Linked DNA regions of Styela clava. The protein of the gene in region 1 binds, or shares a complex with, the protein of each later gene. Links are inferred from orthologs where the notes say so. Each region holds a gene or a part of one and is shown in the gene's direction. Other genes may lie near its edges.

Region 1 (7,606 bases):
CAACTTTGTTTCTTCTATTTTTTGCTGAATTGACTTTATCGTACTCATTCGCACTCTTCGTTCAAGATATTTTTTCGCACTATGAATGAAAAATCCACGTCGTTAATGAATAATAAGCACAAATTTTGAACCAACCACATTTTTCAATGATTTTCAACTTACAGTGAAACCCCCCATTCATGTAAAGTCTTGAACTTTTGAGCATTTTCGCATTTTTGTTGTTCTATTTTGAAAAAAAATGGTAGCGATTATATTTACTGTAACATATATTCGCGAGATATAATAACATGTTAAAGTCGTCGTGTTATCAGCAATACAGTAGCTTGTCACAATCATAAAAACGTTCTATATTGCTGGCCACGCCACAAGCTTTGTCGACTCTGGTATTTGGAAATTCGAGGATGATGTAAAAAAACAGTATATGGATGGTCATTTGGGGAGTGTTTTATAAAATATATAGTTCGGAGATCGTGTATTTTCTGATCCCGCAATGGCGCAAACAAGATAGATTTTCATATGAAATTGACATATTATATGAAAAATTTGTGATTACCGAAATCTTTTCTAGATAACGTTTATTCAGTAACCTATAACAAATGCTGAATTACCGGGAAACAAAGATCGGGTTAATAAGTTATTTCAAAACATCCCATCGTAAAATATTATTCAAATAATTACTTATTCAAATTTGAATGAATGAAATAATATTATAATTCTCTTTCCTGCTCTCAGCTGCTCCAATGAAACAATTTCACCGTCAATAATATCAATTTCTTTCAAAACATCAGCCTTTTTTATTTCCATTCTCCGCGTTTCGTCTTGCAATTGCATTAGCTCCGATGCACCCGGAAACGACTTGTAAATTCTTTTATAATTTTCAAGCTTTTCCTCCTGTCCATTTATCTTTTGTTCAAGTTCCAATCTTAAAAATATCCAATACATAATTACGTAAATTAGTATTATTCAATTTTATTGTCTTAACTAAAGGTTTGATCTTAACAAGTGTTCTGCTCTCCATTCCGGGCTCAAAGTATACCTCTGAAGTAACCAAAACCACGGATATTGTGAAAGAAATTTCAATTAATATTGTGAAAGAAATTTCACAATTGGTATTCATTTATTTAAAAATCGTTTGTATTGAAGTCAGAGATGAAACTCAGATCGGGTCATTTCCTACAAACTCTCTTGCAAATATGATTTCATTAGACCGATGCGTATGCGGACCGATGACCGGATGAGCGCAACTTTCAGTGAGGAGCGAATAAAGTGATGTACATAAATATGGCAACGCGACTTTTATCATAAATAGAAATTTGATAACGCAACATCCACAATTTCGAAAAATATTGTAACTGCTAAATGTGTTAAAGTAAATTGTATTCAACATGATGTTATCTATACGGCTATGACTTATTTATGCTTCATTGTCAATAAAATCGAAAATTCCTTCAGGGATGTCCGCGCCTTATAGGCTGTTAGTCCGCTTCTTAACGTTGTATTACAACTTATGGATGCAATTTATTAGGAGACGTTTTTTAGAAAATTTCACAAATGCATCTCAGAAACCTTTGCCTATCACCTTTTAATACGACTACTACAATTTATATATTTAAGGCATAAACGAATTAGGAAGGGTGGAAAATTGAACTGCGTGATGATAATAAAATGTGATCAAAAAACAAATATATATTAACAGAAACTTCCCTATAATTTTCTAAATATATGTGTGTACAGTATATCATTAGCGAAGATATTGGTTTCTGATCCACCAACCAAACAATTCTATTCCTTCAACTTTATATCGGGTCACATATTCTTAAAGTAACAAAGCGAACCTTCTTTTGGCCTTTTCCTCTACTATTTTCTGCAGCTCTTCAGCTTTTGCATTTGTATGTTCATCCAAGAGTCTATCATTTTCCTTTATCCTTCAAAATATAAAAAGAAACACTTTTTGTATATTTTCTGGTTTATAAAGTTTCTCAAATATTGGTCTCATCCATCCACTCCATCCAGGTTAATAGTAATTAATCGTTTTTTGATCATTTGAGAAAATATATCATTGGTTCTGTACTCAGTAACAAAGTCTTTTTGACAAATTCTCTATTCTGCAGGTGGGTATGATTTAGTTAAGTCTTATGACTCATGTTAACATTCTCTTATCAACGGGAGCAAATAGTTCCGTAATTTAGGGAAGTAAAACGCAATGAATTTCTTCAATACTGTAAACAACTGTTATGGTCATTTTGTACGCGTAATACCAATATTTATAACAGTACGCAACCTTTCGAGAGTTCGTTTCTGATTCACATAAACTTCGTGCATTTGTTTCACAGCCTCATCAAGCTCTCTTGTTTTATCTTGAAATATATGAATCCTCTCTCTTTTACTCCACAATTCTTCCCGAAAACCTAAACAAGTGGGAAAAATTCAATCAATGTCTCGTCAACGGAGAAACCGATTTGGCTCATACGTTGGTAAGTAGGAAAAGTTCAAGCCAAAAGTATCAATTTTGACAATGTTAGCAGCTTGTTAATTTGAGCTCCGATCTGCAAACTATTGAACTAAATGTGCATTTCATACCAAAACCCGACAAGACATTGCGTCTATTCTAACGTGCCTTGTTGGCCCTTCCCAGGATAAAATTGACGGCCACATCCGACGTAATCGACTTAGATATAAATTATAGAAAGGAAGAAAACTTTCGAAGCCCGCAAATTTTGAGTCAAAGGAATTAGATTAGACTATTTCGAAGATACCGGTAGTGTTAGACTTACTTTTTATTATTTCTTCTTCCTTTTTTATTTTTCGTCGCTTTTCCTGTACATCTGCATTGAGCTCATTTAAAAACTTTTGCAACGCGGAAGGAGCACCGCTACCTGAAAACATAGCCATGGCTTTTATAAAAGTGAATTAGCAAGTAGGCAACTCCTACGACGACGTCAATGAATGGTGTCTATAATCATTATGACATCCTATACGTAACAATGACCATTTAGCAATAAATCAACTTCGTCGTAACAATGCCAATTTGTGCAGTCGCTCATAGACACTTCTTTCGCTCAGACTGATATTCAAGCAGGGTTGGTTGAGAATTTTTCAAGCGTCAGGGAAACGTCCATGAACCTTTCCCCCAGCATCGACTTCCTCGTTTACTTCGTGACATTGGCCAATCAGCGAATTGCAAAAAGTGACGTAACAATGCTCCCTTTTCGCATCCGCTCAGACACTTTTCTCACTCATACAGATTTTCAATCGTGGTCGTAAACATTACCTAGTTTTCGCATTTTTGAACTCTATTGGTTAGTTTTCAGTTGTGTTTTGGAAACTTAAATGTAAATCAGATAATTCAATGGTCACCCTGTCTTCCTAGGAGTTTTAATTTAATTGCAGTTATAAAAATTAGTGTAGAAATAGCTGTGATAGACTAGGCTAAAATTATTCAACGGTACTTTTAAAAAACAGATTGTTGTATGCGATGAATCATAATGATGGTTTGAAACACATACCCCATTTCACAGGCGCCAACTCGCAAAAGCACTCTTAAAATAGCCTCAAAAAATTTCCTCTCTCCCGGGATAAAAATTTGCAAATCCTAATCTACCTTCCTTGTGACTAATGTATATTAACCATTTTTTCACATTCCACCTTTGAAAACAGCACTGCGTCATAGGGTGTCACAGCTCTACACATAGGGTGTCATGGCGGTGTGGCTCATCGTACCAAGCGTTAGGATTCATAAACCTCAATATTAGGAATACGCTCGCCACCGCACATGGATGGTTATGTGCGAGAGGATTGCTGGACTCCTCGCCGTCGTAGGGTGGTTCACGTAACCGCTGGTCGGTTACGGCTTCCTCCACCACCAAGTCCGTGCTTCCGAAAAAAAAATAACTAACTAATCCCATACCCGACATGGAATAATACGGTAACTGGACGTGGCCGTGGTTCGCCATATGGTCAAGCCGTCTTATCGACTTTCCTCTCTCAGGATAAATATTTAAATCCTATCATAAATCACCCCTGTAGTTTTCTGTCAATCCCTTCACTCGTGAGTAATGATTGTTCATATGTATGTTTGATTTGCACATGGTGATGAATGAATACTAGATGCAGTAGTATTCATTCATCACCATGTGCAAATCAAACATACATATGAACAATCATTACTCACGAGTGAAGGGATTGACAGAAAACTACAGGGGTGATTTAGGAACCGGATTTGAATCCGAACGCCAACAATCCCTTACAAATCAATGAAGCATAGTGTCGTATATAAATACTTTTGAACAATTTTCGTTTCCAAGTACGCCATCGTTCTGTCCGTCGACTCAGGAGGAAGTTTTTAGGCATTCATAAATCAAGGTAAAATCAGTATACCAGAATTCTTTGAAGTATTGGAAGAAATATTTGAAAATTATCAAATAACAAAAGACATGAAATTGGGATATACTACTTTAATTTATAAAAAGGGAGAACCAGACCAAATAGAAAATTACAGACCAATAGCATTATTGAATACAGACTATAAGATCTTTACAAAAATATTGGCAAATAGGTTAAAAAGTGTATTACCTGACATCATAGATAGACATCAGTATGCAATTCCGGGAAGAAGAATATCTGAAAATCTCATTTTGTTGAGGGATTTATGTACTCAAGAACATAATAAACATGGAGAATCGAATCGATAGAGGAATTCGTCAAGGAGATCCGTTAAGTTTATTTTTATTTATCATAGCAATTGAACCTCTCCTAATTAAAATTAATTCCCATAAAGAAATTATTGGCTTAAAAATACCACACAACAGAGAAATTAAACACATTAGTTATGCAGACGATGTCACATTGACTCTATGTAACAAAAGCTCTGTATATTCTGCAATGGATTTGATGACAAGATTCAAATTAGCAACTGGAATGAAGTTGAACATAGAGAAGACTAAACTTTTAAAATTAGGAATATGGAGCAATCCTAATTTTTTTTCACAAGTACCTGTTGTCTTGACTTTAAACATACTTGGAGTGGTGGTTTCAAATCATGATACCTGCGATGAAAACTGGCAATACTGTTTAGATAATGCAAAAACTGTCATAGATGAACTTTCAAATATTCCATTATCATTAGATGGTAAATGTCTGATAATAAAATTGAAAATTCTACCTTTGTTTTTATACTGTGCAAGATTATATCCCATCCCATTAAAAATTGCAAAACAAGTGAATGTTTATATTTAACAAGAAAAGTTTATATTTAATGGCAGAAACATATTGAAAATTGAGACACTGTGCAAAAACAAGGCTGTTGGAGGCTATGACATGATAAATATTCCTTTACTATGTGTTTATATGTAATGACTGCATTCGACTATTATTGTGATAGGATTAGTAACAAAATTGAGTATTGTAGACAATCAGCATTCAATATTATTGAATATAATATTGGACAACAACTTTGTTTATTACTTAATATACCGATTAATAATAATGTGACACATGCTTTTTTTCCTTATAAATATTATGGAGAGTTGCTTAATTTTCTTAGACAATATAACATAACCGGGGATGATTTAAAACAAGGAAAACATAGGGTACTATATAATAAAATTGTGAATAAATTGAAGGGCGGAAACAGAATTGTATTTCTTCGTAATGGTACAATTGAAGGAGCCTGCTCTGAAATACATTGTAAGATATTGTCCAATAACATAAAAACTTTCAATTTTAAATTAATGTGGGATATTCTTTCTGTTAAAGTAAAGCCCAGAATTAAACATATTTCTGGGAATGATTTATGTGTGTTTTGCACACAAGAACCTGAGTTTGTTTCTCATTTATTTTGGAAATGTCCTTTTACGCAAAATGTTTTTGATTATATTTTTTCTGTTGCATTAAAAATCAATCATTGTGTACTGAATAATAATTACATGACTTGTATTTTACTAGATTTAACTCACCTATGTTATTCACATTTGTCCAAAATAGAACGGAATGCTATAATATTATTATTTTGCACTGCCAGACACAAAATTTGGCTTGAAAGGAATACAGTAATTTTTCAAAAAGTTAATCCAAATGTTAGCAATGTAATCATGAGAATTAAGAAGTCACTTATAGCAAGAAGAAATATAGAAAAGTTGAGACAATATCCTAATTTTACAAGAGAACTAGATATCATTTATAATAACTTGTGAATTTTTAACGATGTGATATATAGTATCAAAACTAATAGATATTAAAATTTTTTTTTAATAATTAATACTAAAAAATATAAATAATGATCAAACATTATGGATTATGGAAATTACATGATGGACATATCAATGGCAATGGGATACTATGGACAATACAATCAATGGACTGTAATGAAATGCTTTGTTATTTTTGTATACTTGTTGTTGTTGTTGTTGTTCATATATTATTTTATGATTTTTATATATTGCATAAACCACATTGTGGAATCATAAAAAAAAAAAAAAAAAAAAAAAAAAAAAAAGTATACCTTTGTGAGTTTTGTTCATAATACCAGGCATTCATAAATCAAGGTAAAATCAGTATACCTTTGTGAGTTTTGTTCATAATACCGGGCAGGCCAACAGCGCAAGCTTGTGATTTGCAGGGCTACGTTAGGAATTCACAACTCATACTATTTTCAAATTTTGGCCAGTATGCATGGTATGGCCATTCAGCGATTGGCGACCATGGATCAGATTCCTGAATTCCGTGTCTGTCCTGCTTGGGAATGATCATTAGTAACTGGATAGACTCAACTGATTCAGGGTATTAAATATTACTGTATTATTTCTTATCTTCAATTGCAAATACAGAAATTAAAACTGCAAAAAATATTTTTACAGCCCTCTAAACTGTTAAAGCTTTTTTGAACACTACAGAACTAAGTCTGCAAGTCAACGTTGGTAGGCTGAATTTCTTGCTTTTGGACATAATTTGAAAGATATTTGGGAAGAAAATTTGTAGGCTTTTATAATAACAGAATGACCACTGATCAGACCAGACAAATTTTTGAACAACTTTTAAAAGATACAGGAAGGTAACTACATTTTCATTCTATAGAGTTAATGGCTGCCTTCTTTGTCAGCATCATTATTTCTCAGCTACTAATCCATTCATTTGTTATATCTTTAGGCAGTTAGGGTACATCTATGCCTCTGGCAAACTTGTGATGTTATAGTCTAGTTATTTTTCGACGGCATTGACTAATAAATTATATTTCATTCATTTATTCTGTTTATTATATTGAACATACTGCTGTACTGACATGCCTCATTGATAAACAAATTTTCATAATTTTCGTGAAGCAACTGTAGAGTTACTTGGTGCAATTTTTTATTGAAAATAGTGTTTTTGGAATCTGATCTTCTCATCTCCCATGACATCAGTACAAAAGAAAATATTTAATTTGACCAATACATTTACTGTTTTGACTGCAATTTTGATATATTTATTTTCAGTAAAAAGAATGGAAAAGAAAGAAGTGAAATGGTAAGTTTTCTGTTGCATTTCTCTATCTGCTGATCTGGCATGAAAGTTTAAATTGGAAAAATGCACGACAAAGCTTGTTCCAAGTCTTAAATTTATAATATCAACT
Region 2 (7,742 bases), about 450 kb from region 1:
TTGGTGTGGCTCAAATATTTATCAGATTTTTGTAATTGCAATATGTGTACTGTAGGAAGAAAATGCCTTTTAAATCTTCGTATCCGTTTTGTAATGATCAATCAGAGTTGTTATTTGTAATTGTAGTGGCAGCATTCTGCCATGTCGCGGGATCGCAAAGGGCTGTTACGCCCTTGGGTATGGAACAATGCAAACAAAAGAGAAACGATAAATGATCTGTAACTATCAAAGCTGTACGCATAACCAGCGGCTATACGGAGTTGTTGCATATAAATTAAAATATTTTTGTTTGTGGGACACAATCAGGGACACAACGTGGTACACGATTTGATAAATACTTCTCATTGATTACAGAGGCAATACGGAGGTTTGGGAGTAAATTACCATACTGGGAGAAATATGAAATTCTCAACTATCCAAAAGTATATTACCTCGGATTGAATGCCAACAAATCTCAATTGAAAGAAGACGGCAAAAACAATTTTGGATTTGATTTTGATACATCGGTTGAAAAAGAATCTGAGGGAAATTATGACGTCGGAGGTCACTATAAAATGGTAATACATAACTATATTAGTTTTGGGTCTATGGAGTCGTAAAATATTTCGAATCAATTACGGGTCATTTATAAAATCAACTCCGAAACATAGGTTCATTCGTTGACTTTGGGTGTGCTGATTATCAAGTCGAAATAAACCTAATCACTACTTATGGTTTCATCACTTTGATGAAAATGTTACCAATTACAATTCAACCAAACTTTTAAAAGATTTTCTTGGACTAACCAAAAAATACTAGACGATACTGATAAAACGGAAACACTTCCCCAACCTCCAAGAATATAACGTATAGAAGTGTTAGGACAAAACTGAAAGAACATGCTATATTGTCTTGCCATATTTGAGATGAACTTATCTGAAGATTTCAAAACTCGGTCAGACAACATTTTATTAGCGTGCAGCAAAACTCCTGTTTCACGTAGAATAGTCATAATCCCTACAGCGTCTGTGTATTATACGCATGCGAATCCACCAGAGCAAAGGTATGCGGCAAGAATGGATCTCGTGTAACCCAAACGGATAGTTGACAGAATACTAGTTTGATTATTATTACATGATGAAGAGAAAACTCCACTTTATATTTTTGCATGTTCTAATCAATTCAATTTTTTTTGTTCTATTATTTTAAGGTTCCTGGTGATCATATCGGTTACAGATATGAAATTATCAAATACATTGATACTGGCTATTATTGCGATGTTGTTGTAGCAAGAGACTGGTCAAATCCAATTTTAAAAAATGTTGCCATCAAAATCATGCGTGTTAGAGGTCACGGGTGAGTAAGTTATAATTAAATGCGGTTTTATCGATAAATCGATAACAAATTCACAAAATACCATTCCACTTTATTTTAAACTAATATGCACTCATTATATTTTGCATGTGACACGCCGGCACAGAAGGGCGTATCGTGATACGTTTCTTGATTATTTATTTAAATGTAAAGCCGACTTTCGTGCATTCACGAACGAATTTTTCAGACGGATTCTCAATTTATCGCTAAGTGGTCACTTCCTCGACGCTGAATTACTCCCCTTTTAAAATTTATTTTGTATTTTCCAGCACGTCAAGATTTTACTGGAGAGAAGTAGGTATTCTGCAGTACCTCAATTCCAACGCTCCCAATTTGGATTATTTTACACGCATGTTAGCAACCTTCGAATTTCGCAACCATCTCTGCGTAGTTTTTGAATTGTTAGGGTCAGTATTTGTCTCAGAAATAAAATATAGTGTATTTTATTGAAAGAGGTAGCTTATATTATTACATTTAATTGTTCGTTTCTATAATTACATAAGGGAGATCGTGCGCTCTCGGGAGTTGATGTTGTAAAAAAAATCTAATTTGCAACTATTGCATCAGTCAATGTTAAATTTTACTACTTGAATCCGCTAAAAGGATATATAATATATTAATCCTCTTTTTTTTCAAGTGCGATATTTCACTCAAAATTTTGCTATTATATTTAAAATTTATATTCATTGAAACACTTTTTATGATATAGCAGCACATTTTTCCGAAGCAATTGCTGGCTTATGTCAGGTCGCCGTCACATTTCTCCACCGATCTTTTCAGCAAAAAAACTAAGTTAAAAAGCTGAGGCGGTACGTGTTCATCCAAATATATGAGCATTGCTCTATTATTCTGATTTACTAAAATGCTTAATGAATAGATAACATGTTATGTGTTTTCTATACATAGCATGCTATCTATATTTAGATGCAGCATTATTCTACTTTTACATGTATTGTTCACTTACCAAACTTTACTGTACTTCACAGGGGAACTATTGATTTAAAATATTTAAAACACTCTGTGCGAAACACAACTTCAATACGAAGATATGCAAGTGATGCTTTGCATGGTTTGCGTATTCTCAAAAAAATCGGTGTGGTGCACGGAGATTTTAAACTGGTAAATGCATTATATTGTCACATGTTGCCATGTTGCAAAATTATTGTTAATTATTTACAATTTTACCATAGTGTGTAATCTTACCTGATAGTGAGAATTAGCAATTTTAATCAACGAGAAACCGCACTTTGGGAGTACACTAGAACTTTGCTAATCCAAGTCGCTGACAAACTAAAATTCAGTGGCACATAATGCATCAGTTTTGTGCCAGGCTCTTTTTTATTGTATTTGAGTTGAATAGTTTCTCATCAGTTTGCTTATAGGTGTGTGTTCAGCAACAACTCTTGAAACTAAAAACTAAAGAGAACTTTATACAAATCCATACTGTTGTTTGTATATAGCTTGTGTAGTAACGATTCTCTGATCTTCAATAACTATAGTGGGTGAATATGTACAATAAAATGTTCTCTATCCTTCAGCTTTCAAGAATATTTACTAATCCATTCCACTTCGCATTGTTATCAAATAATATTATCTGCTTATATGCGCTGAAAGATAATAAAACGGGTCGTTAAGGTTTGAGACACGAAACTGCGAGGAGTTTGTAGGCCAGCTCCTTTTATTAATCGCATGAGAAATTATCCGCTGTGCTAAGCCATAGCAATAAAGCATTAAATGTTTGTATATGTTTTCAGCACAACCTGATGTATATTCATGGAAAAAATATTGAAAGTAATGGACAACTGATAAAAATAGGTGATTTTGGAGGAAGCTGCATTATTGGTCAGCCAAGTATGTCTTTCTGAAAATATGATATTAAAATTATATTATTATATTTTTTGTTGCACAAAGTTCATAAATTTATCAACTTTTTAAACAATTGGTGAAATAAACTAAAACAATGATATGAAATGCCTTTGAAACTGGACTTATCTTTTCACAGAATGTGGATATATGTATTACTTTATTACTCGACCTTATCGTGCTCCTGAAATAATTTTCCACCTGCCACACACAACCCAGATTGACATGTTCAGTTTTGGGGTTTGGCTGGCAGAACTGTTTTTGGGTCAGCCTCCATTTTTTGGCGAAGATAATGAGGAAGATCATTTAGGAGCAATGATGGAAGTACTTGGGCTTCCTCCAAGTCATATGATTGCAAGGTCACCTAGAAAGCACATCTATTGGGGTAACTACGTTGATAAACTTTGTCTAGGCATTGGCTGAAGTGATGTTATCTACTAAAAAATACTGTAGTTATTGTAAACAACATTTTTTGTTTTGTTTTATACTTCTATTTGACACCACGTTTACTTATGGATCGTTTGGTTATTATAATGTCGCTGTTGCCGTTAGTATTTCTTTTTTGTTGTTGTTATGAAAAATCTTTCTTCTTTCTGATTACTCGACCAATTGCTTTAAAATGTTCAGTGGTTGTACTGTTGCTAGAAGGCTATTACTTTTATTTATTTTAAAAATTTGTGTAGGCTCTATGGAAGCTTTATGAGATTAGTTTTTTGTTTACGAGGACACCATCAAAATTACTACTTCGTTTTGGCTTTCGTGTCCATATATCTGAGCATTGCTCTCTTGTTTATACGAAGTATATATATATGATAAAAATAAAACAGTTTCAACGATTCGATACAGGGATAAACGCTGAATGCCATTACTTTGCCCACATTCTTATTCCTTGTTGCATCAGGGATTTTGCAACCTACATTGCTAACTAATTAATTCTTTTAATTTTTCATCTTTGTTTTTTTCATATGTTTGTCTAGATGCCTTTCGTCACAAAATTCACGATAAAGGGACACATCGAAAGCCTTACAGTAGACCGTTGTTGAAAGTTTTGGAAGGAATGGACTTAGTGCTAATTGACCTGATTTGCAGATGCCTCGAGTAAGTTTTGTTGAAAATCACTTAAAACGTTGTGTGTGTTTGTCTAGTCATCTCATACATCAGACTACACCTTTCTTGGGTGTTTTTCCGTGCGTACTTATCCATGAAACCGCCACTATGTTATGGCGACATCCTAAAATCAAGTTTAGGATCTAAGCACTTGGTGATTTATAAACTTCACGTACAGATGGGACCCTAACCTACGCATCACACCTGAAGAAGCACTTCGTCATCCTTTTATGACTGGAGCAGAGAAGAATTTAGAAGAATATCCAATAGTCATTCAACGATTTCTAGGGAAAATTTAGTGTGGAAACTTGGCAAACGAAATTCACAACAGACGGAGGTAAATCGCCGCCCAGTGCGCTGGGATTCCAAATTGTCAACAATCGTCATTGGCTACGAAGATTGTTTTCGAATAAAGTGAATGTTCAAATAACAAGAGAGACGCAAAGCACACCCTAAAATTAAGGAAAAGTGAAGAATATTAAAGAACGTTAAAACAAAATTTTAATTGGATTGAATATACGCGTACGTGTATGTCCGTGGTTCTCAAACGCCTGAATGAGTCGTTTAATTTTCCAAGAGCGTCGTAAAACAATTTCATTAGCAGAAAATACTCAACTCAACTTAGTAAATACAATAGTAGAAAATTGCACTGCAGTGAAGCTCTTGACAAAAACTGCTAATATGACGTCCTGTTAGCTGGGACCATGAGGTTTCATTACAGCTTAAACTCTTTGGACAATTTATAGATCGCTCGCGTACCCCCAAAAGTTTTGACCACTAACCTCAAATTGCTCTGATGCACAACTTATTTTCTACATCTAGGCAACCCATTATATTACCTTTTAATTTGTTGAATCTATGAAATTGATTATTTCAGTTCAATATGATGATAAATTTGCGCTAAAGTTATTCATAACAATGTAATCCCAAGCTTAACAAACACTACAATCAAAGTAACAATATGTCTGATAACCGGAGGAGTGGTCGTGGTTCTCCATATGATTGAGCTGTCTTATTGGCTTCCCTCTCACCTGGGATAAATATGTAAATCATATCCTAATATGATGGGCGAGCTCATTACTAAAATCACGTTCAGGTGCTTTGAACTGTGACATGCATTTTGAGCAGCACTAAAAATGCCGACTCACACAATCAAGTTGATGGAAACAACAACAATGCTTGAGTTTAGAATCAAAATAAAAAAATCATACTTTAAGGAATTGACAATTTTTTTTCATTTGTTGAGTTGCTGAAAAAATCCCTGAAATTCTTCACGAAACTCATATACACGTTTAGAAACATTTACCCCGGAAAACCATCGCACATTACTGTGAAATAGTAGTAGGCCTACACTGTGATCGTCGCTCAAACTGCCACGGAGAACGTTGTTCAAATATACCCATTGAAACGTCGAAAAGTACCTCTCGGGGTAGGCTACCATACGTGTACCCCAGTTTGGTGACCCCTGGTTCAGAGCTTATCTTTTACCAATTTCTGATTAATAATATTTATTAACATAATAATTTGAAGAATAAAGTTTTTAGAAAGGAACGCATCGTTTATTGCCTGTATTGCATGATGTTTTACTTTTATACACGTATGGAAATAAGTATAAGTTTATTTCGACTCCATAATCAGCATAAAAGACGATAAAATAATTGATAAAAACAAAATAAATAAAACTGATTATATAATATATGGAACACAGCAAATTACACTTTCCGTTGATTTTTGTTGGTAACGAGGGAGGGAGAGAGAGAGGGAGAGAGTTTATTTGTTTTGTTCATTAGAAAACATATACACAACATAAACATAATTAATAAAAAGCAAAACAGTTCTCGGTACAGACTTGGTGGCAACGATACGGGTATCGGAGTCAGTTACCACCCAATATTAATATAAATAGACATGAATAAAAAATGCTTCAGATATGATTTAACATATTTCAGGTGTGTTCAGAAACAACGTAAAGAAAAAAAAAGGTTTACATATACACAACAGGCAATTACATATAAGCGTTTAAAGCTAAATAAAATTTCGGACAAGTTACACACTTGATCAAGTGTGGTATTGGTCAAAATTGACATCAATATGTATTTTTGAGTAAATGGAGCATCAATTGTTTGGAATCGGGTATTTCAAGTTGAAGAATACATAATAACATTTTGTGTAAATGGTGAAAGACTTAAGGCAGCATATATATAAAGACATTAAACTAGATCACTACAAAGTAGCAAAATAAATTTGAGCAACTGTGTATAAGCGTAGTAGCCTAGTATTTATTTACGGTATAAGATACAAAAAAAATGCAAAATCTCAAAATTGAGCTTAAGCTGGGGCATGCAAAATAATACAGTTATAATATATATTAGTTATATATGATAATATACAAGATAGGTTAAATTGTAAATTTCTCTAATTCAAACCCGTGGGTTTTAGCAATTTATGCACCACTTCTGATTCTAGACTAATCAGTCGTAGACTACACTTGTCACCATAGTAACATCAACGTCACTTCACTTTAAACGCAATTCGGATTGGAAATTATCTACTTTGGATATTGTTATAATAAAGATAATTATGTCTTTTAGTGCAGTATGGCCAAAGTGATCGCAATAAATAGTTGTCAACCCCATCTTTCAGTGTATACCGTATCCGGATATTTTCAAATATGAAGGTTATGCCCTGTGGGTCTGCTGGTCTGGGCCTGGCAAACCGCGCGGCGCGGCGGTGTGGCTCAACGGGCTAAGCGTTAGGAATACGCTCGCCACCGCACCTCTAATTACTCTGCGTGGGTTCGCAGGTTCGAATCCCATGCAGGGATGGTTATGTACGAGAGGATTGCTGGACTCCTCGCCGTCGTTGGGTGGTTCACGTAACCGCTGGTCGGTTACGGCTTCCTCCACCACCAAGTCCATGCTTCCGAAAACAAACAATACAGTAAAACTAATCCCATACCCGACTTTGAATGGTAACCGGACGAGAGGCCGTGGTTCGCCATATGGATAAGCCGTCTTATCGGCTTTCCTCTCCCCCGGGATAAATATGTAAATCCTATCCTATCCTAACCAATGCAGTGACGGCACAACAGAGCTAGGTCAAATTTAAGATTCTGAGTTTAATAGTCTTGTTACTGGGCTGACACAAATATAGTTGGAGTCTGGTATAGTTTAGTACCACATGCACTTCTAGTTGGCCTGGCTCAACAATTTTTGCATATGTCAATCCTAACCCTCACCTGACTACGTCACCCAAAAATTACGTCATTTCGACGCGCAGACGAGCACCCGAAATCGAGCAAGCTATCTCTCTCGTTTTCTCGTCACAACGATCACGATAGGAGAGAGATCGCCGGCTTTAGCGAGTTCATTATCAGCGGCGCAGATGTCATTTCGGGCGATCCTAATTATACTTTGGCA

Evidence for each region. The genes of interacting proteins can lie anywhere in the genome.
Region 2: uncharacterized protein LOC120345914 (region 1) and transmembrane protein 17-like share a complex: the UniProt entries of both Homo sapiens proteins name them as parts of the tectonic-like complex. The link is inferred for Styela clava from reciprocal best matches to the Homo sapiens genes AHI1 and TMEM17.

The regions. Positions count from the first base shown.
Region 1 is NC_135257.1:13,082,962-13,090,567, reverse strand, and holds the start of uncharacterized protein LOC120345914, read left to right. Parts: upstream 1-4,248; 5' UTR 4,249-4,362; intron 4,363-6,555; exon of another isoform or gene 6,556-6,616; 5' UTR 6,617-6,777; intron 6,778-6,854; 5' UTR 6,855-6,992; coding exon 6,993-7,048; intron 7,049-7,469; coding exon 7,470-7,500; intron 7,501-7,606. Other genes in the region: uncharacterized protein LOC120345286, read right to left, coding at 1-79, 163-225, 725-922, 1,836-1,925, 2,282-2,408, 2,775-2,892. UniProt on the Homo sapiens protein: Involved in vesicle trafficking and required for ciliogenesis, formation of primary non-motile cilium, and recruitment of RAB8A to the basal body of primary cilium.
Region 2 is NC_135257.1:13,532,843-13,540,584, forward strand, and holds the start of transmembrane protein 17-like, read left to right. Parts: upstream 1-4,622; 5' UTR 4,623-4,660; exon of another isoform or gene 4,661-6,023; intron 6,024-7,742. Other genes in the region: dual specificity tyrosine-phosphorylation-regulated kinase 3-like, read left to right, coding at 355-557, 1,190-1,335, 1,623-1,760, 2,340-2,472, 3,108-3,204, 3,356-3,601, 4,194-4,314, 4,502-4,622. UniProt on the Homo sapiens protein: Transmembrane component of the tectonic-like complex, a complex localized at the transition zone of primary cilia and acting as a barrier that prevents diffusion of transmembrane proteins between the cilia and plasma membranes.